Linked DNA regions of Diceros bicornis minor. The protein of the gene in region 4 binds, or shares a complex with, the protein of the main gene of each other region. Links are inferred from orthologs where the notes say so. Each region holds a gene or a part of one and is shown on either strand. Other genes may lie near its edges. The genes, in order: plasma serine protease inhibitor-like, F2R, F2RL2 and F2.

Region 1 (7,517 bases), on a different chromosome or scaffold from region 4:
AATGGAGAACTTTGGAAGGTAAAGCTCTAACTGCCTGGAAAGAGAGGAGGGCCTTTCTTAGACTCTTCTAGAGCATCGGCACACTGAGCTCATATTCCTTCTATCTCTCCTTGGCTTCATAATGATCCTCCAGCCCCTTGCCTAGAGTGGAGCCCATCCTACCCTGGACTTGGACCTACGCTGTCCCCAGAGGTCACTGCCCATTCTGATGGCACCACCAGGAAACTTGGTCATGTCTTCCAGCCCTGCTCCGTCCAGCAGGGCCAGGCCTGGGGTCTGGGACTTCACATGATGCCTCTGGGCTTGGAGGCAGCTCCTGGGCTGGATGAGTCCTTCCCACCACTGCTGTGTGGCCCTAGGGAGACATGTGTCTCTCTGGGGGTGTGTAGGGTTAGGCTGGCCCCGGGGTAGTCTGAAGAATACCTCTTTATGAACATCTTGAGCCACTTCCTCAGGATTTTCTTGTTCAGTCCGTTCTCCACCTGCCCCATCCTGCCCTCGCTGGGGAGAATGAACAAGGCTGTGGCATTCCCTTGGTAGGGGATCCCCACCACCCTGCAGGAGAGGTTTCGATCCAGGAGGTAGTAATACTGCTCCTCGTGTCTCATCATGGGCACCCGCACCACCATCTCCGAGGTCACATGGAAGTCCTGCTCTTGGGTGCTTTTGTGGTCAAAGCTTGTCTCCCACTTAGCTGAAGATTAAAATGGAAAAGAAATGAGAACTTCTCAGCTGCAAATGACAAGTGTGGAGACAGTAAACCTATTAAGCAGAGATCATCCTCTTTGGAGCAGTCTGGCTGCTGGCAGTGACTGGAGAACACTGTGACCAGGAAGGCAAGCCCCTTATAACTTTGGGGCACACTGGAACTGTTTACGGGGCTTTTCCATCCACATTTGCAAAACAAGAAGGCTGGTTTTCAAGTTTTTAGAGGCCCTTAACCTCTAATGTTTGTTTGAGGCTCTGATGTTACTTGAGGTCAAATATCCAAGTAAAGAGGATAAAAATACGGATGGCTGACAAAGCTACACTGTATCTGGGTGACTTACTCTGTTTTTCACTCTTTTCCCAACATTGGATTTGGTCTAGGTTTGGAGGAGAGCTTTGTAAGGTTCCTGGAAATACATGATTTTTCTTGCTAGGAAGTCTTCAGTTACACTTCCTGCTCTGTCTGCTTCCTACGGGACTTTTTGATCAAAGCGATACAAGTAATTGTTTCCATCTTCTTAATAGCTATCAAATATGGACCCCCTCCCAATACCTCACTTAGCTGATTTCACAGCTGTCCTCTGCAGCCTGGTGTAATGGAGAGAGCCCTGGGCTATGGGACAGGAAATCTTAGAATCCAAGCTTGATATTCACCATCTGTGACCAGGAAGTGGGGGAGGTGGCTAACAATTTCACTATTTTCCTCCTTCCTTCCTCTTTCTCTCTCCTTCCCCCCTCCCCCTCCTGCCCCTGTCCCTCCCCCTCCCCCTCCCCTCCTCTACCTTCCCCTCCTCTCCCCTCCCCTCCTTCTCCCTCCCCTTCCATCCCTTCCCTTCTCCCTCTCTCCTCCCCCTTTCATCCCCTTCCATCCCCTCCCCCTTCCTTGCCCCCCTCCCATCTCCCCTTCCATCACCTCCTCTCTCCTCTCTCGCTGCCTCCTTCCCCTTTCATCCCCTTTTCCCCACCCCCTCTCCCTGTTCATCCCCTCCCCTCCCCTTCCCTCTCCTCTCCTCCTCTCTTCATCCACTCTGCTTTCCTCTTCTTCCCATCCTCAGCCAGACCCCACACAGGGCGCTGAGGGGTTCAGCATCTAGAAGGAGAAGTTGACTTGGGAGCTGGAGATGAGTAGAGATATTTACATGAAACCCCAGGGAGATAAAGATGGAGATGGGTTCTTGAGGAGGGGAGAGGAGGCTATTCAGAGGAACAGGCTCTCATCCCTGGATTTCTCGGCCTAGGAAACAGCCCCTAGGAGGGTATGGGGGAGAGGGTCTGAGGCCCAGGGGAGCAGCTGAGAAATGCCCTTGAAAGCCCATCGAAGGCCGACAGTCCTGGCCTGAGTAGCTGTGGTGTTGGTTTCTTTGGCACCTTGGCCATGAGGAACTCATGCTTCAGAACCTGAGTGGATGCTGTGGCTTCAGGTGTCCCCAGGGTCCCGAAGACAGGACTCAGCCCTTCCCCAGTGGAGGAAACAGCAACCCTGGGGTCATAAGCATCTCCTTACCCAGTGAGAAGGCGCCGTCTTATCACGGCTGATTGTTGGCCTCACTGTTATCAACAGGCACCAGAAAGGACTGAATTTACTCCTCCTCCTCCATGTGTGCGAGAATTGGGTATTCTTTTGACAAAAGCAGTTGGAAGGAGAGAGGAAGTTCAGGCTCGAGCCCAAGGGTCTTACCTTTAAAGAAAATGTAATTCACCATAACCATAATCTCAGTGCTGTCCAGGTCCTTAACCAAGTCTGCAATCTTGCCTTTAGTTTCCTTTGCCACGTAATCATTGATCTGCTTCTGGGCCCCTACGGGGTCCCCAAAGTTCGTGGGGATAGTGTCTGCCAGGTACAGTGTCCTCATGGCATTCAGGAAGGTGTCCTGGATGTGCACCGTGGGGTTGATGAAGAGGGCATTGCCAAGGCTCAGCTGGAGGCCTTCTTTGGGCCGGCTGAGCTCCTGTAGCAACTGCTGGAATGCACTGTGGAGCTCTTCCTCCGGGCCCCCCTGGAGGTTGAGACCCAGGCCCTGCAGGATCTGTGCCTTTGTGTTGGACCGAGCCCCAAGGGAGATCATGGCCAGCGTCATGGAGATGCTCAGAGGAGAGAAGAAGATGTTCTGGTTGGGGGCAGCTGCAGCCAAGGCCCTGTAGAGGTCGAAGGCAAAGTCTCCGGTGTGGGGGGCCACCGTGGTAACTACAGGTGGCAGCTCCTTGCCTCTCTTCTTTGTCTCACGGGAGCGGTGGCGGTGGAGGGTGGCCACCAGCGGGCTGAGGAGCACCAGGCACAAGAGGAGGTTGAGCTGCATTGTGGCGGCCCCTTGTTCTGAAATGGAGAGTGGGAAGATGTGCTCAGAGAGGGTGTGGGGCCAGCGTGTCTGCCCAGAGAGAAGATCAGGAGGAAGCGTGTAAGACCGATGTTCCAGAGAGATTTCACGGCTCAAAATGCAGCATCAGAGGGAAAAGACGACCAGTGAAGCTGGGAGTGAGGGCTTAAGGAGGGCAGAAGGGGCTGCAGGATGAGGTTTGGGGACATGGATATCTAACGGTGGGGAGAGGAAGGAGAAGGCAGAGGGGAGCAGATCCAAGGCAGGGACTGGCCACCAGGGCAAGAATCCTCCCCTCTCACCCACATCAAGGTACACGTGACAGGGGATGGGACATGGAGCTGGGAGGTTCTCCATGTTCTGCCTGGTCAGCATCTCTGTGGTTACTGGATTAGCAGCCTGCTTCCACGTGTGGCTCTAACCCTCGCTTTGGTCCTCAAGTGCAGCATTTGGCAAGGCCTGGTGGGCTTTCTGAGAACTCAGACCAACTACCCGCTGTGGACCCCCAGCACTGCTGGATTTGCCCTTGTTCACTCAGCAAATATATATTGAGCATCTGCTACAAGGCAGGCAGGGTGCTAGGCTCCTGAGAGACGGTCCCTTCTCCTTCTCCCAGGGACGGCTCCAGGACCCTGCAAGGCCACCGTTGTCCCTCATCAGAGGCACCTTCTCTTCCTGAGGAAATTCTGCCCTCTTAACGTGTGCACCTCCACTTCTCTCCTCTTCTGTGATGGGCTGAATTGTGTCCCCAATTCAAATGTTGAAGCCCTAACCCCAGTACCTTGGAATGTGACTATATCTGGAAATAGGGTCTTTAAAGAGGTAGTTAGGCTAAAATGAGGTCATATGGATGGGCCCTAAGCCAATACGACTGGTGTCCTTATAAGAAGAGGAGATCAGGGCACAGGCAGACACAGAGGGAAGACGTGTGAGGACACAGGGAGGAGAAGGTGGCCATCTGCAAGCCAAGGAGGGAGGTCTCAGAAGAAACGAGCCCTGCTGACACCTTCATCTCAGACTTCCAGCCTCCAGAAGGGAGAGGCGATAAATGTCTGTTGCTTGAGCCCCTGGACAGTGGTGCTCTGTCACAGCGGCCCGAGTGCGCTAAGACATCTCTCCTTTCCCTCCCCCAGACAAGAGCCCTCGCCTTCTTTCTCTCTACATCTCTCAGGTGGGGTCTTCCATCATTCCGGCCTCGTCCTCCACCTTCAGTCCCTCCTCCTCTTCCTCCCTCATGTCCATCTACCCAGACCCCTCCTCTCCAACCGGAAACCTTTCCTGCACCCAGGCCTCCCAAAGACCTCCTTCCACCCGCTGTGACTAGCCCAGACTGCAGCCCAGCCGCCTGGGTTCAAATCTCGGCCCTGCTACTCACTCCAAGTGTGATTTGGGGCAAGTCAGTTACACCCCGTCCTCTGTCCCCTACCTGTTCAACGGAGGTAACACAGTGCCTGCACTGGGGGTGAGGGGGGAGTGGAGACTTTAAGGAGTCAATGTAGGTAAAGTGCTTGGAACGGCGCCTGGTGCAGACCTGGTGCTGTGGAAGCAGGAGCTGTCGGTGTGGCAGTGTCTGGCCAGGGCCCACTTGTCCCCCCATTTGAGCACCCCATTTCCTCAGCCGTACAGTGGGGTACGTGCTTTCACACACTCGTTCTCATGGGAGCCCAGTGTTGGCCGGGTAACTAACTCCAAGGCTGCCGATGGCCTGAGTTCTGATGAAAGCTCTTGCTCAGATCTTCCCCTCCAGCTGAGCGTTCTCCCCCATGGACACAATGTCATCAGGTCTCCCAGCCCCAGCGTGAGCACGGCCACGGAGTCACGTGACCCAGGCAAAACCAAACTCCAAAGGGCTGCAAACAGCTGCATTGTACATTGCTTGCAGAGTGGCCCATGGTGGGGGAGGGAGGGAGGGACATGACATGCCAATGAGCTTGGGAGTCAGGGGACCTGGGCTGCAATCCTGCCTGTGAGCGAAATCGAGGGACTCGAGCAGGTCGCACTCACCGCCCCTGGCCTCCAAACTGCACCTGAGCTCACAAAGGAGGCTCCTTTAGAATGTTCTGTCTGCAGAACCTCTGGCTACCCAGCACTGAATACAGCAGCCTCAGCAATCACCGTGCCCGTGGGAGGCCCAGGCGCATCGCCGGCGCCCGCTGGGAGGTGCTGTGCTGTCTTGACACATATCAACTCCTTTAGCCTCACGCCCCCCGACGGAGGCAGGTTCTATTACTAGCTCCATTTCACAGATGAGTAATCTGAGGCTCAGAGAGGTCGAGTCACATGCTAATAGTGGCGAAGCTTGGGCTCAGACCCGGTTCTGCCCTCAATGCCCACACTCTAAACCGCTGTACCATCAGTTTCCCCAGATCCCTAGTCTTGCTCTTCTGGGTCTCGGCCTCCCAATCTTGTATTCCCTGCCTCAGCAGCTGCCACTCATAGCCCTTAACCTGCAGATAATGAAGAAACCCTGTCTGGCTTCCCATGCTTTTTGTTTTTTGAACAAAAACTCCCTTTTTGTTCCCACCTTGAGAGTTGCCTTCCTGGAGGTCTTTCAAGGACGTGGGTGGGTGGGGGACTCTCTATGTCCTTTCAACTAGTCTGTTTTACAGCACACTGTGGTCCCTCCCCCAAAGTGTTAGCACCATCAGATAATTCCCTTAAAAGGAACCCTTTCAAAGAACAGCTACAGAGGCAGAGGGAGTTTCCTGTGTGGACGGAGCCCAGAGGCAGCTGACTGGGGTGCAGGAGGGAGGGTTCTGGCTCCCAGCCTCCCATCCATGCAGCCCTCCTGGTGACCTTGGGGCAGGCCCTTCCCCTCTCAGGCCTCTGTTTCTTCACAAACAACTGGAGGTCTGTCACATGTTCTGTCCAGTAACCTTCCCCCCTGCCACTGTCCCCACCCCCTTGAACCCCAGAGATCTGACAGGCCAGAGCCACTTCTCCAAGTGCCACTGAGTCTCCAGGATAGCAGGGTCTCCTTGGAGAGAGCTGCAGCTTCACTCAGGGTCCCCTGGGCTGCAGGCTGGGGACCAAGAAGTCTTGCTCCATTTGGGCTCACTCTCTCTCTCTCATTACTATTTATTAAGGACCTATTATACATTCTATAAATATTACTACATTTCAGCTTTACCGAAAGCAAGCAGGCCTCCAGGAAGGCAACTCTCAAGGTTCAGTCCGTTTTACAGCTGAATAAACTGAGGCTTAGTAAAACGGAATAGCTTGTCCTAGCCAGTGAGTGATGGAAGCAGGATTAAAATCCAGATTCCTCGGACTGATGTAGTGCTGCCTCTTTGGTCCCTTTTACGGCCCTGAGGAATGACCTTGTTCCTCCTCCCCTGTAGCTCCTGCTACATATCCCTGGGTCTCTCCCAGGCTGGTCACCTGTATTAGCTCGTTTACACTCCTCCACAGCAACATGGAGTTGGTATCGTTATCATAACTGTACAGAAGAGGAAACAGAGAGTCAGAGACGTCACTTCTGAGAAAGTGGAGGCCTTGGGGTGCTCATTTCAGGTTTCCTAGTTTCAAAGCTCAGGCTTTGCCAGCACACTCCTGGGCCTCTGGTGGACACACACAGATTTGACAGAGTTTTGTGCCAACTTTGAGCCGGCGTGAGTCTGCTTCAGGCACTTAGGAGACCAGCCCCACTGCGTGGTGGCAGAGCCTGGCCTGGCTGACCCTCTCCTGGGGTGTTTCTGCAGAGATGCCCCCACATGTCAGAGGGAAGAGAGCAGATCTATCAAGCCCATCTGGCACCCCAGGGCAAAGAGACCTGAGGAGGCAGGAGGTGGGCAGGCCCTGGGCAGCCCTCCCACTGATCCTCAACATCCACAGACCCAAAATCTGCTGACGTTTATTCTAAACATTAAGCAACAGAGTCCCAGCGGGTCGACTTTGGACTCAGTTGTGAGAGGCGCACAGCTGAGGAGGGTCTGTCCACTCTCTGCTCATTACAAGAGGAGATGTCAGTCTAGGGGCCCAGGCAGAGAGGAAAAGACAAAAACCACAACTTCCCCAGATCCTAAAGACGTTGGGGGCAGAGCTTCCTGGGATCAGTGACCTACGAAACTTTCTTAACCTCCCTTCCCATCTCCAGACCATCGGCGGGACTTGTTGGTTTCCAGCTCTAAAATATGTCTTCAATCTGCCTGCCTCTCCCCATTTTCCCTGCCACCATCCTGATGGAAGCCCCTTCTGTCTTTCTCCTGGACCACCCCATTGCTCCTCCTGCCCCTGAGAACCATTTTACATCCAGCGTCTGGAAGAATCTCTGTGATACACAAACATGGTCATGGTGCTCCCCTTCCTAAGAACGTGATTCCGCTCATTCCTTTGAGATAAAATCTAACTGATTTGTGCGATAACCGAGGCTCCATGTGGTCTGGCTCTGTCTGGCTCTCACCAGCCTCATCCTGACCTGCTCCGCCCTCAATCAGGTGTGTCCTCTGAGCACACTCCTTTTTTCAATTCCTCCAACACAGTCAGCCCTGTCCC
Region 2 (7,952 bases), on a different chromosome or scaffold from region 4:
AGGAGAGTGGGAAGACAAGGAACCCAGGGTGCTGGCGACCCCACTGTCTCGGCGGAACTCCGGCTCAGGGCTCAGCTGAGATCCAGTTTGTGAGGGTGACAAGGACAAAGGTGAATTGACTGGGGTAGGAGGAAGGGGGTAGAAAGGGCACAGGGAAGATGGCGGCCAGCACTTCGGAAAAGGAGCACGTTCAGAGCTGCTGAGACAATGCAAGTTAGGATTCATAGTACACTGATCCCTTCAGACACAGGGGCCAAGAAACGCTGAATCAGACAGACGAGGGGAGGGGTGGAAAGGCAACCAGCAGAGACGACAAGAGAATATTCCTGAGAAAGGCCGAGAATGCCCCCCCAAATGTCCTCACACACAGATTAGGAGATAAAAATAGAGCCAAAGCCACTAAGGAATGAATGGGAGAGAGAGAGAGAGAAGAAAGAAAGAAAGGGAGGGATGGAGGAGGAATGAGATAGATATTGGAATAGAAAATTACTTGCTGGTTCATAAGAAATTTGACTTGCAGAGGTTTCTGGTTGGCTTCAAGCAGAATGATTGCCTGGTTTTGTGCCTTTTGTTTGGGCTTAAGACCACCGTCTCTCAGTAACAGCCACTTAATTAGCATATTCAAGACAGGGATCTATTTATGGCCAGCCTCACTGGTCTGTTTTCAAAAGTAAATGGCAGGATACCACGATCCATGCATAAATGTTTACTGAACACCTCCATGTGCTAGGCCTGGGCTACGGAGCCAGCGGGGCACAGACTCTGCCTTCTAGGGGTACCAGAGAGCACAGAGGGGCTGCGGGACTGGATGGCTTCCTCTCGACAGGGGGAGGTAGAGAAAGCTCGCACTTAGGAAAGACAGGCCTGTGGTCAAATCCCAGCTCCACTTCTAACCAGACTTGTGACTTAACCATGCCGGGACTCGGTTTCCTTACCTGTAGAATGGGGATGACACCTGCTCAAAGGGTTGTTATGAGGAATAAATAAGGTGGGATATGTAATGTACCTAAGCAGGGGGTTGTCGGTAGTAGGTTCTTGATATAAGTGACTGTTTTTAGTTAAATGTGAAAACGTGGGGCGTGGGGAAGACATTCAGGCCAGAGGGAGTGGGAGGGGGGAGGACAAAAGCCAGAGAAAGCATAGCTCCCTGGGGGAGGACCTAGAGGGTGGGGTTGGGTGAAGTACAGGTAATGCAATAGGTTATGTAATAGGAGAGGATCTGTAATAAGAGAGGCTGGTCAGAGGGTGGGGACTCATTCCATGCTAAAGAACTGGGCTTGAGCCTGTGGGCAGGAGGGCAGCATGTGGAATCTCCCACCCAGTCCCCTCTGCCACATCACCATGGGCTATTCTTGAACCCTTTCATCCTCCAGATTCTTACAAAATTTATAAACATCACCTTCTGGTCACTGGCCCTCTGACGAAGGCAAGTGATCTCACTTAAATGGCCTGGAAAAGGAACGTAAACTGGTTAATGAACTTACCAACGTCTCAGTAAACATCTGCTGAGTGAACATCTGTTCTAGACTCCATGTTTCCCCCTACACCCCAGAGACGATGCTCACGTTATCCACAGGCAGGCCGGCTAGTTGCTGCAAAACTGTGGGCCCCTATCTGGGGCTCTTCATTTTCCCAAAAGCGTCACCTCAAAACTCACCCTGAGCCAAGATGGAGAGCAGAGAAAATGCTGTCTTTGTCACCTCCTAATCTTGATGCATCTATACCGCTTCCAGTGTGAAAACAAGATAGAGTTCACAATGTTTCACAGATAGTAAGAAAACCGGCTAGAATCTGTTTCTGCACAAAAAAATGTGGCTAAAAGCTTATAAAGTACTATCATTACAAAGAAATTAAAATTTTTTTCTAACTTTATAGGCTAAAAACAGCTTCTCTGCCCTGCTTTTGGGGGGGGGGGGCATGTTGGAGAATACGTTTATTTGGTCAGGTAGCCAGATACTGGAAACTACACTGTCAGTGGGACACAGACTCCAGGCGACCTACCTCCTCCTGCAGCAGATGCGAAACTGAAATCCTGAAATCCCATAGGGTCGGAGGGAGCCGGGTCCTGGGGAGGGGATCTCTTTCTCAACTCACTAGGAAGACTGGGTGCTAGATAAACAAACGAAACCTCCCAACAACCGCCCGCGCCCGGTGGCTCTCCTGTTATCACGCTCTGTCCCGCCCCGCGAGCCCCTCGCGTGCACAAGGCCCGTGCCCGGGGCTGCGGGTACTGATTCTCCACCAAACGTGCCCAGGGACTGGCTGGGCTTTTCTCTACACACTCTCCTCGCCTGTACAATGCGCCAGGAAAACAATTCCAACAAAACAAAACTTCACCGGGAGCGGTTCTCCAGTCCATATTGAAAAGACCGGAACGTTTATCGGCGGAGCAAAGTAGACCCTTTCTTCTTGGGGTGGTCCTGGGAGAACCAGGCCACACAGCGGCAACAAATGCAACGAGGAATGCAGGCTTCCCCAGGCTCCTCCGTATCCAACACCCTGTGGCAGGCCGGCTGCATCCTCCAAAACCGAGCGCCGAGGGGCCTCGGCTAAGCCGCGAAGGGGGCGGGTGGGAGGGGCACGCCCACCTGGATACGACTGGGGAGACTCGGGTCTCAGCCCAAACGCCTGTGTGGCTCCTGGAGGAAACTGAGGCAGAGGGGGCAGTCAGGGGCACCCCCAGCGACGAGAAGGCGCAACCTGCATCCACTCAGCGCCCCGCAGCGTCCCTCCTCCTCCCGCCGCCCCATCCCGGGGCGCCCCGGCTGGGAGCGAAGCCCGGGGCAGTCTCACCTGGCCTGCGGCCCCGGGTGCCGGCCGACAGCAGGGGGCCGCACAGACTCAGGCCCGCGGCCACGAGCAGCAGCCGCCGCGGCCCCATTGTCCGAGGCTCGGCGCGCTCGGCGCGGCGCTGCTCCCGAGACTGTGCCGCCGCCGGGAGCGCGGGCCCGGGCTCCCTCCTGCTCCCGCGGGGCCAGCCGGCGGGGCGGGCAGGGCGCTCGCCGCACGCAGGAAGGTGGCTGGCGGGTCTGGCTGCGCTCCGCCGGGCGCCGCGCGCGGGGCTGGGCGCGGGGCCGGGCGCGGGCGGGGCGCCGGCGGGCGGGAGGGGCGGGGCGCCGGCGGCGCGGGCCGGGAAGGGCGCCCCCGGCGCCGAGTGTGCGCCTTGCGGCCCGCCGCCCCCTCCCCGCAGCCCCCTCTCCCCTGGTCCCGCCCCGCCGCTCGGATGCCCCGGGCCTCGGCCACTTGGCACCCCCTGCCGCGCGGTGCGCCGCCGCTCCGCCCTGGCTGCCGGCCCCTGTCCGGCGGGGGAAGCCGAACGAGACATTCTTCCTCTGGGCGCCCTGGACGAAGCTCGCAGTGACTCAGGCTGGCGGGGCTTTGGAACAGGGCTGGGCGGCCCGGGCGGCTGCTCCCTCGACCTCTCCGTATCCTCCCGGGAGCACAGACGGTAGCGGTGACCGTCTGATCAGGGTGCGCCCGGGCGCCCGCGCCTGGCCCCCGGCCGAGACCTCCCTGCCCCGGCGGCCCATTTGGAAATTCGGGATTTAGCTAAAAGTTTGAAAGTGACTTGTGTCTCTGCAACTAGGGAGAGTGGATTAAAAAGTTTATACTGTAGTGACAAGGTTGCCCCCTAATGAGAAGGGGTCCTACATTTGGACAGAATTCTAGACATTTCTTATTCGTTTCTCTTTATTTCGCCAAGTTAGACATTTCGTCCGTCGGACACTCGCTATTTTACCGACACGCTGCCTGTGAGTGGGACGAACGACCCGCCTCCCAAGAGCAGCTTCTCCGCCCCCCGCTCGGGCGCGGCTGTCCCTTTTCCCCTCTGACAATAGCTCCCAGCCGAGGGCCGTGGGAATCACCCGCGGCCTTTCGCGGGAGACGGGCCGGCTGGGCTGTCCCTGTGCCCGGGCTGCGACAGGGGTGCCCGGAGGGCGGGGGGCCCTGGTGACTCTTAGGGGCCCTCACACTCTCTCGGACGGTAGTGCGTGAGTTTAACAGTATTTGGCCAAATTCAAGTCACAGGGCGGGGGACACCGAGCTGCTCGCTGGGGGCCCCTACAGGACGTCGCGCCCGGGGCTGGGCCAGGAGGAGCACGCAGCCTGTCCTGCTTGCAGAGCGTATCTGGTGGCCGCGTCCTTTAGACCACAAAGGAAGTGGGTCCGCTCAACCGGCCGTTTCCGGGAAAGTGTACCGCAGCCCCTCTCCCCACAGATGTGCGGGCGTGTTCTGCGCCCTGCGGCTGATAAACTTCGGTGGAGAGTTACTGGTCCAGGGCTCTCAGCTTTTTAAAAAGGGAATTTCGCATGGAGATTGGCACTGACACTTAAACCGGCGGAGAAAATACAGCAGACTATCTCGTTCTTCCCTGCATTCCGTCATCCTCAGGGCTCAGGCCTTTTCGTTTATAGAAGTTTCTCAATAAATTACTGACTAACCCAATTATATAACGCTATTTAAAAATTTTCTCTATTCATTTCTCCAAGGAAAACATAGCCAAGAGTAACGTGAACCACTACAATTATATATTTCTCCACTCGCTATTAACTTATACTATTTTTCATCAATCCTAAACACCATTGATTTTGACTCATCATTTTAATTTATGTACCACAAGCAAGGAAAAAATACTGCCAATTAAACTGTGACATACTACTGATTGTAAGAAACATCTCAGTTTCAGAGTTGTTTAAACATGAAAGGGCATCTTAGAATCAATGAAATACGGTGTAAAATATAAAAGTAATCAATACACATGGCAAGAAATTCTAATAGTTCAAGGATATAAAGTGAAAAGTAAAAGTCTCTTCAGCCTCCCCTTCTAAGAACCATGTCTCCATGGCGGCTGCAGTTAAAAGTTTCTGTCTGCCTCCGCTGTTCAAGAAGTTGTATCCACATACAAGTATTCATGTATGTGTATACTTAAAATAAGAATGGAATAATACTATGACTGCTTTTAAGTTGTAACTATTACATTGGTGGAAAATGTTTTTAACCATTTTACAAAACTGTAGAATTTAAAAGGATGCTTTTTTTTGCTTACTTATTAGAACAGAATGTACCTCTGGTGACAAAAAGAGAGCCACTGGAACAAAAGCTTAAATTCTTTGTGCCTGTTAAGTAGAGGAAAGTATCCCTTTGAGTATGCTTTATCTAGGCTGAAATACAGTGAACAAGGTGGGAGAGTGGAACACAGTGAGGTATTTCTTTCTCACTTTAGTGTTTTCTAAAGATTGTGGGTTGCTAATTGAGCGGCCACCAAAAGTTAAACCTACCTTCAGAACCAGTGGTTTTAACTTTTGTCACACACAAGTGCAGATGCCCAGACCCCCCTCCCAGACCTGGGAAATCAAATTCTACATTTTGCCCCCCAGGCAATGGTGATGTCTGAGGGTTCCCAGAACAAAGTTTAGAGAAACATTATTCTAAGACAGTGGTTCTCAAACTTTAGCATGGATCAGAATCATCTGGAAGACACAGTGCTGGGCCCCATCTCCAGAGTTTCTGATTCAGTAGGTCTGGAGTGTGGTCTGAAAATCTGCATTTTTAGCAAGTTCCCAGGTGATGCACGGGCTGAAGCTGCTCTGTGTGTGTGTGTGTGTGTGTGTGTGTGTGTGTGTGTGTGTGAGAGAGAGAGAGAGAGAGAGAGAGAGACAGACACACTTTGAAAACTACTGCTTTGAGAGAGAAAAAGAACTGAACAGGATTTCATATAGTTTGTGAGACTTTCTTTAAATTACACAATATTTCAAGCATAGAGAAGTACAGAGCCTAATATCACACCCGTGGGCCTACAATGAGGCGTGAACATATACATGTAAATACATACACGTCTTACAGTGGTGAAGCTTTTCTGGTACCCTTTTCTGATTCTAGTCTTTTTTTTTTTTTTTTTAGTGAGGATGATTAGCCCTGAGCTAACATCCAATGCCAATCCTCCTCTTTTTGCTGAGGAGATTGGCCCTGGGCTAACATCCGTGCCCATCTTCCTCTACTTTACATGGGACGCTGCCACAGCATGGCTTGATAAGCGGTGCATTGATGCGTGCCGGGGATCTGAACCTGCGAACCTTCAGGCTGCCGAAGCAGAGAGCATGCACTTAACTGCTACGCCACTGGGCCGGCCCCTGATTCTACTCTTTTTCCTGCCCAGAAAAGGAACTTTCTCATCCATGTTTTTATACTTTTAGTACATCTGTGTTTCCAAAAAAAATTAGTTTTGATTTGAATGTTTTAAATATTTACACAGAGTAACATACTCTAGGAATACTTGCTCAGTTTGCATTTTTCTAGATTTACTTGATTGATACGTGTCTAATTCTTTCTTTTTAAACTCGTCATAGTATTCTCTTGTATGTATATACTGAATTTTATTCTTCTAAAGCTATCTGTTTTATCTGCAGTTTTGTCCCCACTTTTATGCCTAAAATAGCATATTTTTGCTTTTTTTTCTTGATGAATCGGGCCAGAGGTTGGAAATAACCATTTTCCAATGCCCATCTTTTTTTTGTTGTTGGTTTTATTGTTTATTTTCAATGTCATTAATTTTCACATAGACTTTTTTTCCCTTTCTTTGGATTTACTCTTTATTCTCCTAACCTTTTGAACTGATTGCTTAGCTTGTTAATTTTCATTCCTTCTCCTCAAATCACCACTTCAGCTGCATTTTGCAAGTTTTGATATGTACATATATGCAATTCAGGGCTAAATATTTTGTCAGTTTCATTATATCTGCTCCATCTCATCAGTTGTTAGAAGTTTTGACTGGCTTTTTGTGATTGATTTCTCATTTTGTGTTATGGTCTGTTGGCGATGTTCTCTTGTCTGTTTTTTCCTCACACTCTACAAAGTTCCTATACCACTTGTGTGCTCTTTAGAGCTTCTTGAAAAAGATATGAATCTCTCTGCTTCATTTGTTCCATGTCACCTGTACCAAAACTCCTTGACTGGCAGTTTTAGAGCAAATGTGTGTAGGTTTCCCAGAGTAGAAAATCTTCCTAACCAGAGAGGGCTACCTAACAGGTCGATATTCCTCAGAAATGATGCCTCAACATTGCAGCATCATTCATGCTGGGACCAGTTGATACTGGTTCCCAGTTTTTATTTTCTCTGTTTGAACTTGCCTGGCACCAAATAGTATGAGTCATTAGCTATCCTCTCACAGTGTTTGTGGTATTTAGTAGTGCTTTATAAAAACGTGACATCAAAATGGTGCACATTTTAATCCCAAAATGATATGAAAGCAGTTTCTCTTAAGTCCATTAGGTGATCTACCTGTTTCGGGCATTCAGGTTGCCACTCCTCTTGGGAAGCCCTCCAAGACAACCGTGTATCCCAGGAACTAGCTCAGGAATTCCCTTTTGGAAGCTAACGGTGGTGATACCAGGGCTCACACGGAAGGAAAGCAAATTGTATTCAAGTTAGGAGTGAGATACTCCAGATTCTGTGCAGACACCTCCACATCTGTTTTTCAAGAGAACAAGTCTGTAATCAAGTTACAAGCTAATCAGCAGGAAGCCTGTTTCTGCCTTTTGCTTTTTGTTGTTTCAAATCAGCACTGGTATTTTGGGTTTAGAAGTAAAGTTAATCTCTCATAATGGGTCAACAAATGTATTTCCACTAATTATACCATGGATAGAATGGTAGACTCTCCCTATGCTTGAGGTACTAACAAAGTGTCAAATTCAATATCTGTTAAAAAGAAAACAACAATAAAAACTGTTGTTGCAGTTATATAAGGTGAACTCAATATCTTTTACTTCTGGTCATCTCCCTTCTGTATTAGTCACGGTTCTCCAGGAAAACAGAACCAACAGGACATATTATAGATATAGATACAAGGGGAGATTTATTGTAGGAATTGGCTCATGAGGTTATGGGGGCTGAGAAGTCCCATAATCTATTGTCTGTAAACTGGAGAACCAGGAAGGCTAGTGGTCTAATTCAA
Region 3 (5,693 bases), on a different chromosome or scaffold from region 4:
AACCGTGCTCCCCGATTTTACACATTTGATGACATCTGGGAAGCGGGACCCAGGTCATCAAGATGAAAGCCCTCATCCTGGCAGCTGCTGGAGTGATGCTTCTGTCACTCACTCACTGTCAAAGCGGTAAGCTCTTTTCATACGGGGTGGGGTGGGGTGGGGTGGGGGTGCTGGTTTGTATTACAAGAGTCAACTGAATCTAATTTCCTTGGCATCTCACACAAACTGCAACCCAAAGACAGCGTTTGATCTTAGTTATTAAAAGGCGGCATCACAGAAGCGAACAGCGTAACTTGGTTCACTTGGCTCAAACCTCTTCAAAGACTGTGTCCTCTGCTTACATTTAAGAATGTGTGGCACAGCCAAGGTTTTAGATCTCTACAATTAAGGATCAGTTTTCTTTGTGAGAAGTTTTTGATTTTCTAAGTATTTCCTCTGATTCAGCAAAGATAGCACTTTTGCAAGAGATTAAAAAAAATCTTGTTTATACCTTCTGGTGAGGTACAAATGGGGGAAACAAGAATACTCCCAGAAAGACTGAGTGGTCTGCTCTCAGTAATCAGCGACACTAATAAATTAATGCTTCTTAACGAAATACCTTTTTTGACTTTCAGTGGTACCAGGGAGTTCTCCCCACCCTCATATATGATTTTTTAATTTTATAAACGAAATCTCCCAAATACTATTATTCAACTCTTAATGTGTTTTCTCTTTCACTCAACACGATGTTAGCCTGTAATCTCCTGCTTGCTTCCAAATTAATAAACTTCCGATAGATCTGTATCCACAATGCTTTCACCATTAGGTCACAGTCCAGGCCACACTGTCAGGAGCAGGAGAGCCGGTGAGGGGCAACAACAAGGGGGAAATAAAATGAAACAAAAATCAAACTGCGGTAAAGGGATGCTGCTTACATTGACAGTTGGAATGGCCGAGGCGGGTGTAGGAGAGTGGGAGCACACATGCGGGTTACGAATCAGATAACTGAGCACTCTATCTAGGAATGGATGAACCCAAATGCAGCAGAGTAATGAAAGAAAAGAGGTTTGTGGAGGTGGTTCCTTCAAGATGCTGATGGGATTTGGCGGAAGTGAAGAGTGGAATTTAAAGGCGACAAAGTAAAAGGCAGTGCATTTGCTTTCTTGGATGGGATGGGGGAGAAACGTGAGGGAAGGACCCATTGTCTAGAGGCTGACGTCCGTTTCCATTGGATCAGCCCCTCTCCAAGGCCTTGAAACATTTCAGAAACATTATGCCAAATGGAAACCTGTATAAAGAATTCAAATAAATTTTTTTTTAAATTTAAATTTAACAATGAGTACTATTCTTAAGGAAAACCAGTCTCTAAGGAATAAAAGACTTATTCAAGCTGAACCAGATCCAGAATTCTCATGGAAAATGGAATTAAGACTTTTTCACAAACAAAGTCACTGTTTGGCATGTTTTTAGGCATGATGCCTTGCTCAATCAGAGGAATTTTCTGAAAACTGACAAACACTTGGTTTCAACAGCTCTCTTATCAGATCCGGAAGGGAAGTAACTTGTGCAGCATGTTCTTCAGCCACCCTTTCCAGCTTTCGCCTTTCGGTAAAGGCACTTCTTCGGGCTGTTGTCAGATGCAGGAATTTCCAAAATGCACAAGTGAGCAGAAGGATTTGTGTGGCTGAACTCAAGTGTCACACACACGCCTTCACGGTTCACATCTAAACACAGGCACAGAAGAACGCCACTTCCCAGATTTTTCTTTCCTTCTCTTTAATTTATCTGCTCTTAAATGACACCTGAGCACCCCCCGTCCCTGCTTGTTCGGGCAACACCCTCCCTCTGTTTTAGACACTGAATACAGTTTGTGCAATCTCATGGCTATGAGGAGGTTTCAATTTCACCTGGGAGCGAGCTGCTAGAGAAGAAAGCAGGAAGAGAGACTGGCTTTGAACGAGAAGCAGGTTACTAAAGTCTTAGTACTTTAACTAACACGTAGGAATGCTGACGTCACGCGAGAAGACGTAACTGGCAGAGCAATGGCATTTGAAGTTGATAAGTATGAGGCGCACATTCAACCTAAAAATCCATCTTCAGGTAACTTTAGAAACTTAAGAGAACCTACTTTCTATATATGTCAAAGATTAATTTATGGAAAAATATATAATGAGAAAGAGATTTGAGTATTAAGGGTTATTCTGTTTTTGAAGTTTTCTTTCAAGAATTAGGATCATTAACATCAACATGCCAAGTAATGCCAAATACATATAGTATGTAGTTGCTGAGTTTGTTTTTTTATTTCCAAGTTCCTAAAAATCATCATATTGATTTCATCTTCTCATTTTTCTTCCTTTGTCTCCTCTCCCCTTAAAATCTGACATTTCCCCTAAAGTCTGCCTTTCGATTCTTTCTTCTTCTCTCTCCCCAGGCCACCCCCACCACTTGCACTAAATTAAACTACAGCCTCTCTGCACACTGAAACATCCCACCTCTCATCTGGGCTCCTGGAATTTTGGACTCAATGCCTAAGGCTTCTAACCTGTCACGGGACATTTAACACACCAATATCCCACCAGCAACTCAAATTTAGTTAATGCTAACAACCGAGGTCTTAGCTTCTCCCTGTGCTGCCCCTTGTCCCACCCCCCTGCAAGTCATCTAGACTAGAAACCTCCAAGGCACTTTTAGCTCCTCCCTCTCCCTCTCTGCTGCCATCACCAATCAGATGCCAGCCCCTTGGAGCCTCCATCACAGAGTCTCATGTGTGCATCGTCACCTTTCCACTGCCGTCGCTCTACTTCGGCAACTCTCCATCTTGAGTGGCCCCCAAATCAGGCCCCCTTGCCTCTAATTTCTTACCTTTTCAGTCTATTCTCTACACTCTCACCAAAGTCATCTTAAACACAAGTCAAGTCACGGTTATATTAGTTTCCTATTGCCACTGTAACCAATTACCACAAACAGTGGCTTAAAACAACACCGATTTATTATCTTACATTTCTGGAGGTTACAAGTAGTAAAATCAAGGTGTCAGCAGGGCTGTGTTCATTCTGGGGGCTCTAGGGAAGAATCAGTTTTCTTGCTTTTTTCCGCTTCTAGAAATGCTTACATTCCTTGGTTCATGGCTCCTTCTCTCATCTTCAAAGCCAGCAGCATAGCATCTTCAAGTATCTCTGACTTGGACTCTCTTGCCTCCCTCTTATAAGAAATCTTGTGATTATATTCAGCCCAGTCAGCCCATCCAGGATATCCATCCCATCTCAAGGTCCTTAATCAATCTGCAAAGTCCCTTTTGCCATACAAAGTAACATAGTCACAGGTTCCAGGCATTAGCAGATGGAATCTTTGGGGGGCCATCATGCTGTCTACCACAACGCCATCCCTCTGTTCACAAATTTGCATGTGTAGAACCCCAGCATCCATGAATGGGCACCTGATTTCTCAGTGCAGTTTAGAGGCCCTTCAGAGATTTGACTGTAACCTACTCTTTCAAATTCATCTCCTATGATGAATGCGCCTTATTAGCATAAGACAATGTGTTGTTGTGCATCTTCTCCACCAGCCTGAGAGTTGAAGACAGGGATGGAGTTTATTTAAAACTATATACCACTGGCATATATGTATGCAACAAACATTTGTTGAACTAACTTATCTGACATTCCCAGATTTCACGCCAGCCCACACTATGCCTTTGCTAATATATCACCAACAGAATCTCATTCATCGATTAAATTCTATCTCTTTATGAACTTTGCTCATGTTTGCTCATGTTTATCTTTTCCTTGACATTTTGCTCAAACATCTAAATCTGTTAACTATCGTCTGAACGCCTATACAGCTTGTAATCAATATGACATTAGCGTATAGTGGTCTGATGTGCTATTTTTGTTTCCTCCAACAGTATTATAAACCTGCTACATGTAAGGAGTTGTCACGTAGTTTTTATATACTAAATGCATTCCTGTTGATTACCTGATCTATAACAACTTTTCAAAATAAAAATGACCCTAAATTCTACAACTACAGAAATTAACGTAGCATAAGACCTTTAGTTTTATTGTCTCCTGAACCACAGATATGGCTCAGCAACAAACCATATATTAATACTTCTTTTCAATTACAGGCATGGAAAATGATGCAGACAACTTGGCAAAGCCAATCTTACCTATTAAGACCTACCGCGGAGCTCCCCCAAATTATTTTGAAGAGTTTCCCCTTTCTGCCATAGAAGGCTGGACAGGAACCACCACAACTGTAAAAATTAAGTGCCCCGAAGAAAGTGTTTCAAATCTCCACGTGAATAACGCTACCATAGGGTACCTGAGCAGCTCCTTAAGTACCAAACTGATACCTGCCATCTACATCCTGGTGTTTGTAGTAGGTGTGCCAGCCAATGCGGTGACCCTGTGGATGCTCTTCTTCAGGACTAGGTCCGTCTGTATGACTATCTTCTACACCAACCTGGCCGTTGCAGATTTCCTCTTTTGTGTCACACTGCCCTTTAAGATAGCTTACCATCTCAATGGGAACAACTGGGTATTTGGAGCGGTCATGTGCCAGGCCACCACAGTCATCTTCTATGGCAACATGTACTGCTCCATTCTGCTCCTTGCCTGTATCAGCATCAGCCGCTACCTAGCCATTGTCCACCCTTTCACTTATCGGGGACTGCCCAAGCGCACCTACGCCTTGCTAACGTGTGGACTGGTGTGGGCAACGGTTTTCTTATACATGCTGCCATTTTTCATCTTAAAGCAGGAGTATTATCTTGTCCATCCAGATATCACCACCTGCCATGATGTCCACAATACATGTGAATCCTCAGCTCCCTTCCAACTCTACTATTTCATCTCCTTGGCATTCTTTGGATTCTTAATTCCATTTGTGGTCATTATCTACTGCTACACAGCCATCATTCGGACACTTAATGCATATGATCATAGATGGTTGTGGTATGTCAAGACGAGTCTCCTCATTCTTATGATTTTTACCATTTGCTTTGCTCCAAGTAATGTTATACTTATTATTCACCACACTAACTACTACTACAACAACATCGATGGCTTATACTTGATCTATCTCATAGCTTTGTGCCTTGGTAGCCTGAATAGTTGCCTAGATCCATTCCTATATTTTCTCATGTCAAAAATCACAGATCATTCCACTGTTTACCTTACAATGGTGAAATTATCTTAGAGAATAAGGAAAGCTATCCGTAAAAACATACATTCTTGGGATAACATGCATAATAAGTGCAAGGAGTTCTATTCTCCAGCTCCATTTTTGAGTGCCTAAGAAATAGTGGTTCAAAATAAAACATTACAATAGCACTAGTTTTTTTACACACTTTATCAGTATTTTAAGAATGTCAATGCAGAAGAAAAGATATCATCACTTTCCTTATAGCAACTGACACATTCGCCTGACTGGTACTTCAAGCTCTTTAAAAGTCCATCTTCCCTACTTCTCTGAGGTTTCTACTCTAGATGACTTGAAGGGAAGGGTGGGATAAGGGACAAAGTCACAGCATGGGGAGAAGCTAAGATCTCATTTTTCAGTATCTGGTGTCATTTTTGATTCTTCTCTTCGTCCGAATCTCACTCTGGTGGCTGCCTCATCAGCTGATTCTATCTCTGTAAGTCTCTCACCAGGGTCCGTTGTCCTAGGCCCACCATTGCGTTCCAATCATTCTCTTCACTGCCAGCTTGTCC
Region 4 (7,433 bases):
GGTTTTTTTTAATATGCAAAAAGGTAAGACCACCCTGTAGTACATGCACAGAGCCCCAGGCTTTGAAGTGTCCAGATTTAACAATATTTGATCTTGCTTCCACTTCTGAAATTCTCGCTTAGAAGATAATTTTACTGTTTTCAGTGATTATAGAGCTTCGCTTTACAGCGTAGCATTGGTCTTGCCCACGATTTTGTTTGATGCCAGCTTGTTGGGCAGAAATGCAACCCCTCAATATGGCCTTGTTCTTAGAGGCAAATATGATCTGCTTTAAGTGTGCAGGTACGTGTTTGTGGTGAGAAGCAGGAATGACAGGCTCAGCTGCATGATACTCACTGGGCCCAGAGAGTTCCAAGGAGAACAGTTCTTGGAGGCTGGGGCTCTTCTGGTGGACCCTGAAGACTAGGGGTGTGCTGGGTCCATTGGATTTCTGTACCCGTGGTGGTGCCACCCTGGTCTGGCAGAACTTTTGGATCCTTCCAGAGCCACTCACAAAGGGGATGCTCTCCCTAGATCTCTGCTCTCCCTAGATCATCGTGAAACATTCACTACTTGAAGAGAACTTGTGAATCCCTGTGGACTCTCACAGCCGTCCTAGAAACTGCGTGGGAAAGGACTCGTATGTGCACTCCCATCTCCACGTCTCTCCGAGCACAAGGCTGCATTCCGCAGGTGGGCAGCACTGCTCTCTGCAAAGTAGAGAGGGTGGATGTGGTCTTCTGTTCACCCAAGAACGTGTGAAGGCTGTCTAACTAGAATCCACTTACTGCTAGCCTCCATTTATTAAGGAATTAAGTTTACTTTTCATTGTGAAATTTTTCAAACACAAAAAATTAAAAGGGATAATATAACAATCCCCTAGCCACCTAGATTTAATGATTGTTAGCATTTTGCCGTGCTTGTTTCATGTTTGTTGTAAGTTCTTCAGTATAATCTATAACTCATAAGTTATATAAAACTATAACTTATATAAAAAATATAACCATGTGTCATATAATACTTATCAAATGAACAATAATTCTTTCATTTGAATGAGAACCTAATCTATATTTAAATTTTCTTGCTTGTCCAAAAAGAGTCTTTTTACAATTGATTTCTTCGAAAGTCTAAACCAATCATGGTAATTCTGTTTCCCTGGTGCATTTGGTTGTTAGGTCTCTCTTAGGTTTCTATTATTCTGGACAGTCTTTCCCACCCACCCCTTTTATTCTATGTCATGAATTTGTCAGAGAAACTGGGGTCATTTGTCCTGAAAAATGTTGCTCATTCCTTGTGGTGTCTAACTTATTCCTTTATCATCTGTATTTCCTGCAGACTAGTAATTAAAGTTAGAGGCTGAGAGGCCGGCCCAGTGGCATAGTGGTTAAGTTCGTGCGCTCCACTTCCATGGCCTGGGGTTCACAGGTTCAGATCCCGGGCACGGACCTACACACCGCTCATCAAGCCATGCTGTGGTGACGTCCCACATACAAAATAGAAGAAGATTGGCACAGCTGTTAGTTCAGCGACAGTCTTCCTCAGGCAAAAAGAGGAAGATTGGCAACAGATGTTAGCTCAGGGCCACTCTTCCTCACCAAAATAAATAAAGTTAGAGGTTGATTAGATCCAGATTCATCATTTTAGGAAAAACTCTTTATAGGCAGCATTGTGTGTTGCCTGTTGCAAAATAGCATATAACTGCTGTTTACTGAGTGCTTACTGTGTGGCAGGCATTGTGATACTTGACGAACATTATAGTATGTTCTGAGGGTAGTTTCGTTTTTGTTTCACAACGATAAACTTAACTCTGAATCCAACTAGACCTGAAGGGAGACGAGATATATGAAATACAAGAACTGCAGCAGGAGAGAACACAGAGGTTACAGGGTGTGAGAGCTGGGGGCGCTCTCCTCAGGGGCAAAAGGAGTGGTTGGGTATAAGATAAACACAAGAGCAAGTTCGTCAGAAGGGCCCAGAGTCTTCTGACTGGTCTTGCCATTCCTGGACCCAGCATGCCCCGTGGCTTCCACAATATTCATGCCATCTCTCTCCTTGCCAGAGAGCCAGTGCTTGCCATCCAGCCCGTCAGTCTTAACCGTGTGGATGACAAACTGGGGGCCATTTGGGTTGGCTCCAGCATTTGCCGTGGACAAGATGTCAGGACCATATTCAAAATGAATTTCTCATCAGCAAAGTTCTCCCCCTGGCAGTACTATTGTGGTGTGTAAATTCATCACCTGACACATAAATCCAGGAGTAAGTCTGGGAAAGCAGGAACCCGTATAACCAAATCTCGTCCTCTCTGTGTTCAGAGAACTGAAGTTTTCTGCTTTGGAACATTGTCTGCAAACAGCTTGAGGAAGACATAGCCCAAGACTTGCTCGTTAACAGCCATGTCTGCGCGTGGTGCTTGTCTGTCATGACTGGGGGGTCCTGACAGCGGGGGAACAGGGAGCAGTCAGCAGGCCCCTTGTTCCTCAGTAGAAGAGGTGCCGTGTGTTAGGTGATCTCTCCCCCTGCTGACACCCCCTCTCACCTCTTCTCCCTTTCCAGGTTGAGTCAGCACTGGCCCAACCTGGTCCCCAGGAAAGGGAGGGTCACCTGCCTCGAGGCAGGAAGGATGAAGCCACACCTCTCTTCTCTCCCCTTTTCAGGAGCCCTACCCCCTTCCCTTACTCAAGATGTAACTTTTTAAGAAATTAGTGAGGTGAGATCTTTGTACCATTCCACTTCCTTCCCTCCCCAAAAAAGAGTAGGCTCAGTGTCATTAGTCAACAGGGAATACAAATTAAAACCTCAGTGAGACACACCTGCACATCCATCAGGATGGTTGATGTGAAATGGATGGACGATATAGAGGGCTGGGGGGGACGTGAGCAACCGGGACTCTCCAACATGGCTGGTGGGAGCGTAAACTAGTACAGCCACTTGGGACAACTGTCTCAGCGACTTCAGCAAAACATGCCTGCCTTATGACCCAGCAAATCCTGGGCGTGTAACCCAACAGAAATAAGTGCTCATCTACACCCAGAGACTTGTGCACGAATATTCATAGCAACATTACTCATTATAGCCCAAACTGGAAACTAATCCAAATGCCCATCAACAGGTGGATGGATAAAGAAAATGTGCTCTATTCATGCCGTGAGATACTATGCAGCTTCAAAGGAACATAACATGGATGAATCTCAGGAACATGCTGAGCGAGAGAAGCCAGACACAAACAGGTATATGCCGTAGGTTTCCATTTATATGAAGTTCAGAAGTAGGCAAAACTATCTATAGTTAGCATAGCGGTTATCCTAGGGCCTATTGGGGCTGGAAATGTTCTCTCTCGTGATCTGGTGGTGGTTACATGGGTGTATGCATAAAAATTTGAGTTAAACACTTAGGATTTGTTTTAACATTATTGTATATAAATTAAACCTCAATTTAAAAAATATATATATAGAAAAATAGGAATATGTAATATAAATATAAATATATGTAAGTATAGGAACTGGGCCACCCAGGAATTAAGCTGATTCTTGGTCCCCCGTTCTCTGCCAGCCTTCTCTCTTCCCTGCTCTGCACCAGGCCCCTCCCTGCGATCTCAGACTGTACACGACCGCAGTCCAGATGCCGAACGGCCAGGCCTAAAGGATGGCGAGGCAAGAGCCTGAGCTCCCTGTGTTCCTGTTCTTTGTCCCTCTGTCCTAACTAGACTAGGACTAATATTTACCTTGCGTCCTGTAAACAGGAAGTGGAGGAGGGACGGGAGCAGGGCTGGCCGAGGGCAGTGTAAGACAGCAGCCTCTCTAGGCCCGGCCCAGGGCAGACGGGTGCAGGGAAAGGGGGTCCCTGCCGCGGAGACCCCGGGATTTGGGCTGCCCCTGTTCTGGGGAGGGCAGCAGTCCTGGGATGACCAGAGGCCCAGGAAGCCCTGGACCTGGTTCCTCCTCCCGGGGAACACTACACACAAACACACCTCCACAGCTTCCCAGATGGGAAAGAGGGGAAATGGGACCCTCCGTCAGGGGCTGAGAGGCTGGGGTAAATGTTGGCCGTCCCTGCCCCCAGTGTGTCATGGGGCAAGGTGGGCAGCTCTAATCTGGCGATGCCCTTGTCTCTATTCTCTTCTATCTATGTGTTATGATTACACGAACCTCCCGGTTGGTTTATATCCGTGTATCTTCTGATTATTAAGCCCTCACTGTGTTTCATGGGCTTACATTCCTAATCTCCTCTAGTCCTCATAGCAAAGTACTATTCCCACTGTACCGATGAGGAAACTGAGGCACACAGAGATTAAAGCAACCATCATCATGTGTTGGAATTGGAAGGGGCCTCAGGAACTGGTCCAAGTTGACCCATGTCTTAGGGAAGGAGGGGCAGGACGATAGTAGTTACACTGATTTTCCTTTGTGACTTCCTCCCAGACCATCCATCCCTGGTCGCAGGAGGACCTGTACCCCCAGATGGTGGGGGTGGACTATCTATCCACTTGTCCCCACGGCCCTGACCTGCTGACCTCTGCCTCTAGGCTGATTTCTTCATGTTAGTTCAACATTAACCCAGAGGGGTCAGGACGAACTCTCAGAGTCCCAGCAGCCCACACACTATGGCGCACGTCCGAGGCCTGTGGCTACCTGGCTGCCTGGCTGTGGCTGCCCTGTTTAGCCTTGTGCACAGCCAGCATGGTAAGGGGGCTCGGAATCCCGCACAGACTGACAGACCAGGATTCCACCCGTGGAGAACACAGGGCCGGCCCCTAGATGGGTCAGCCCAAGGTATCTAGCTTAGGGAAGGAGCCGGGTGCTCAGGGCCGGACAGACAGTGACTGCTTCTCTCTTACAATTGGGGAGTGGGCTGGGGGTGACCAGTGAATGGAGGGGAGCTAGTGGGCTACCCTTAGCAGCTTCCTGAGTCCTGCTGCCATCCTAGACATCCCCTTTCAGAAGCCAGCAGGGCAGGCCAGGCTTGCTTCCTGCCCCCACGGTGGCCAAGATGGCCTGACCCCCTGAGGCCGCTGTCCCACACCCCTCCTACTGCAGTGTTCCTGGCCCCTCAGCAAGCACTGTCGCTGCTCCAGCGGGTCCGACGCGCCAACAGTGGCTTCCTGGAGGAGGTGCGCAAGGGCAACCTGGAGCGGGAGTGCATAGAGGAGCAGTGCAGCCGCGAGGAGGCCTCAGAGGCCCTGGAGTCCTCCAGCGCCACGGTGAGGCTGGGCTGCTCGGAGGGAGGCCGGGGCTCCCCCGATGTGGGCCCACCTCTAGGGCCACAGATGAGAGGAGCCAACATCACAGCTCCTAAACTGTTGACAACTTGATTTCGTCTCTGAGCCCCATTTCACTGGGCTGCCAAGATGAGCAACCTCAGCCTTTCTTGGGGGGGACCCAGTGCCTGGGCTGTGTCAAGGTCCCAGGGACCAATGAGGCTCCAGGACGTCACGGGGCCTCCTTAGTCTTCAGACATCTGTCTACACTGGGGTCCCTGGGGCCCCTGGCCCACTTGGCCTCTCGGCCTCAGCTTTTCCGATACTCCTGTGCCGCCTGTGGGAGGTGGGCGTGTGGTAGGCTGGGAGCCCTGGGCCAAGGCCTTAGCGTTCCACGGACCCTGTGCAGCCTTTCCCTTCCGCGGGGCTCTGCCTGGGCCCCACACTCCCCTCTCCGCCAGTCTTCCGCACCCAGGGGAATCCCTGTCCGTTTTGGTTGAGGGAGCCCCCCCCCCTTCAAATACTCTTCTGAACGAGCTGGGTTTTTGGAGCAAAAGTAGGAAACTGTGCCACAAACGTCCCCAGAGCCTGCCCCTTGCGTGACCGGGGTAAGGAAAAGAGGGAAGAATAAGGAGGAGACATAAAGTTTACTAAACAACAAAACCAAACGGGATCCTGCCACAGCCTCATGCCAGCCCTTGTTTTTCAGGATGCGTTCTGGACCAAGTACACAGGTGAGCCCTGGGAAGGGTGTGCTCCAGGAATCCTGGGGACCCCAGTTAGAGAATCTTCTGGTCTGTCCTATCACTCACCTATCCACCCAATCTCTTTTCCTCCTTCCTTCCATCCATCTATCCTACTCTGTTTCTGAATGTCGTCCCACCCTCCTTTTACTCAAGCCCATCCTGTCCCTACCACAATCCCAAAGGTGTTTCTGGGTCTTTTCCAGCTTGTGAGTCGGTGAGGATACCTCGAGAAGATCTCGTTGAGTGTCTGGAAGGTGAGGAACTGGCATGAGGGTGGGGGCCAGGATATGAGAGGGGCAGTCTGGGAGAAGAGCAGAGTAGGGGTCGGTTAGGGGCTGTGGCCCAGCAGCGGTGGCCCCTAGCATCTGACTTTGCCTTGCTGTTCCTGCCGTCGAGGTTGTGTCTTTGCCCCTGGCTCTGTACCTGCTGGTCACTAAGATGATTAATGTTGAAGGAAGAAGTAAATGGATAATGAATTAACATTAAGGCCTCATTCTCATGAGCTCCTGCCCACGCCAGTTAGTCTTCCCCATGCCCCCAGGGCAGAGCTCCCATGACATCACTTTCGTTCTCCAAAACCTTGAGTGGCTCCCCATTGCCCCCAGAATAAAGCACAGGCTGCTTAGGCTGGTGAACTTGGCAGCCTAACCTTAACCTCCCCTTCTAGCCTTCCCTCCTGTTGCACCAACCATGAACACAGAGCCTGAGCTACTCTGATAGCCAACATTTCTCTAAACATGCCAAGATGTTTCTACTGCCTGGCCCTTGCTTAATTTGTCATCATCCCCTTGAGCAACCATCACCACTTACTGAAAACCTCCCTGTCCTGCATGGACTAGTTCAAATGCCACCACCTTGCTGAGCCTTCAGGGAGCCCCCTCCCTCCTCCACAGCGTCCTGAACACACCTTTAGTATGACAACAGGCCCCACTACAGGCAACTCGTTGATCACTGGCCATACTTTCACTTGTTAAATAACTTATTCAATAGACATTTCACTAAGTCCCTGCTATGTGCCAGGCACTGTGTCAAGTTCTGGGGGTTTAAGAGAATCAAGGAGCTCACAATCTCATAGGAAAACAAAATGACAAAACATCAAAGTGATGGCTGGCAAAGTTCTGTTCCAGGGGCCAAGAGAGTGCCAGGAGGAGGGGCGTTTAGTTTGCTGGCAGGATCAGGGACAGCTGCCCAGAAGAAGTAGAGTTTTACCTGGATTTGTAGAATGTGCTGATGAATAAACAGGAGAGCATTCCAGGCAAAGGAAACAGCATGTGCAAAGGGCCTGGAGGAGGAGGAGGCATGAGGAGCTAAGATAACAGGACAGATAGACCAGGGACGGATTAGAAGGAGCTTGTTCATTTTATCATCCTGCTCGCCATGAGGAGCCACCGAATATAAGCTCCATGAGGGCAGGGACCTATGACTGTCTTATTGACTGTGACTGTCTTATTCATTGTTGTGTCCTTAGTACCTGGCACAGTGTCTATCACATGGTGGACACTCAGTGAACATTT

What was found.
Region 1: the proteins of F2 (region 4) and plasma serine protease inhibitor-like are in contact, whole or in part, in a crystal structure (PDB 3B9F), measured with the Homo sapiens proteins. The link is inferred for Diceros bicornis minor from reciprocal best matches to the Homo sapiens genes F2 and SERPINA5. Residues at the interface, in NP_000497.1 of Homo sapiens: Arg383, Pro386, Glu388, Leu389, Leu390, Cys391, His406, Cys407, Tyr410, Pro412, Trp413, Asp414, Lys415, Trp455, Glu457, Asn458, Leu459, Asn506, Arg541, Ile542, Asp562, Ala563, Cys564, Glu565, Gly566, Asp567, Val588, Ser589, Trp590, Gly591; in NP_000615.3 of Homo sapiens: Gln241, Lys295, Lys296, Arg297, Thr368, Ile369, Phe370, Thr371, Phe372, Arg373, Ser374, Ala375, Arg376, Leu377, Asn378.
Region 2: the proteins of F2 (region 4) and F2R are in contact, whole or in part, in a crystal structure (PDB 3LU9), measured with the Homo sapiens proteins. The link is inferred for Diceros bicornis minor from reciprocal best matches to the Homo sapiens genes F2 and F2R. Residues at the interface, in NP_000497.1 of Homo sapiens: Phe382, Arg383, Pro386, Gln387, Glu388, Leu389, Leu390, Cys391, His406, Cys407, Tyr410, Trp413, Lys415, Leu423, Arg425, Arg431, Thr432, Arg433, Tyr434, Ile441, Met443, Glu457, Asn458, Leu459, Asn506, Thr510, Lys517, Gly518, Gln519, Arg541; in NP_001983.2 of Homo sapiens: Ala33, Thr34, Asn35, Thr37, Leu38, Asp39, Pro40, Arg41, Ser42, Phe43, Leu44, Leu45, Arg46, Asn47, Pro48, Asp50, Lys51, Tyr52, Glu53, Pro54, Phe55, Trp56.
Region 3: the proteins of F2 (region 4) and F2RL2 are in contact, whole or in part, in a crystal structure (PDB 2PUX), measured with the Mus musculus proteins. The link is inferred for Diceros bicornis minor from reciprocal best matches to the Homo sapiens genes F2 and F2RL2. Residues at the interface, in NP_034298.1 of Mus musculus: Phe379, Gln384, Glu385, Leu386, Leu420, Arg422, Arg428, Thr429, Arg430, Tyr431, Arg433, Lys437, Ile438, Ser439, Met440, Lys467, Pro470; in NP_034300.3 of Mus musculus: Thr46, Phe47, Glu48, Glu49, Phe50, Pro51, Asp54, Ile55, Glu56.

What each region holds. Positions count from the first base shown.
Region 1 is NC_080763.1:40,251,531-40,259,047, reverse strand, and holds the start of plasma serine protease inhibitor-like, read right to left. Parts: upstream 3,006-7,517; coding exon 2,387-3,005; intron 695-2,386; coding exon 424-694; intron 35-423; coding exon 1-34. UniProt on the Homo sapiens protein: Heparin-dependent serine protease inhibitor acting in body fluids and secretions. Inactivates serine proteases by binding irreversibly to their serine activation site. Involved in the regulation of intravascular and extravascular proteolytic activities.
Region 2 is NC_080740.1:5,907,007-5,914,958, reverse strand, and holds the start of F2R (proteinase-activated receptor 1), read right to left. Parts: upstream 3,016-7,952; 5' UTR 2,882-3,015; coding exon 2,794-2,881; intron 2,610-2,793; exon of another isoform or gene 2,589-2,609; intron 2,492-2,588; exon of another isoform or gene 2,360-2,491; coding exon of another isoform or gene 2,338-2,359; intron 1-2,337. UniProt on the Homo sapiens protein: High affinity receptor that binds the activated thrombin, leading to calcium release from intracellular stores.
Region 3 is NC_080740.1:5,827,861-5,833,553, reverse strand, and holds F2RL2 (proteinase-activated receptor 3), read left to right. Parts: upstream 1-4,107; coding exon 4,108-5,178; 3' UTR 5,179-5,187; downstream 5,188-5,693. UniProt on the Homo sapiens protein: Receptor for activated thrombin coupled to G proteins that stimulate phosphoinositide hydrolysis.
Region 4 is NC_080770.1:23,574,901-23,582,333, reverse strand, and holds the start of F2 (prothrombin), read left to right. Parts: upstream 1-4,412; 5' UTR 4,413-4,579; coding exon 4,580-4,658; intron 4,659-5,012; coding exon 5,013-5,176; intron 5,177-5,882; coding exon 5,883-5,907; intron 5,908-6,122; coding exon 6,123-6,173; intron 6,174-7,433. UniProt on the Homo sapiens protein: Thrombin, which cleaves bonds after Arg and Lys, converts fibrinogen to fibrin and activates factors V, VII, VIII, XIII, and, in complex with thrombomodulin, protein C. Functions in blood homeostasis, inflammation and wound healing.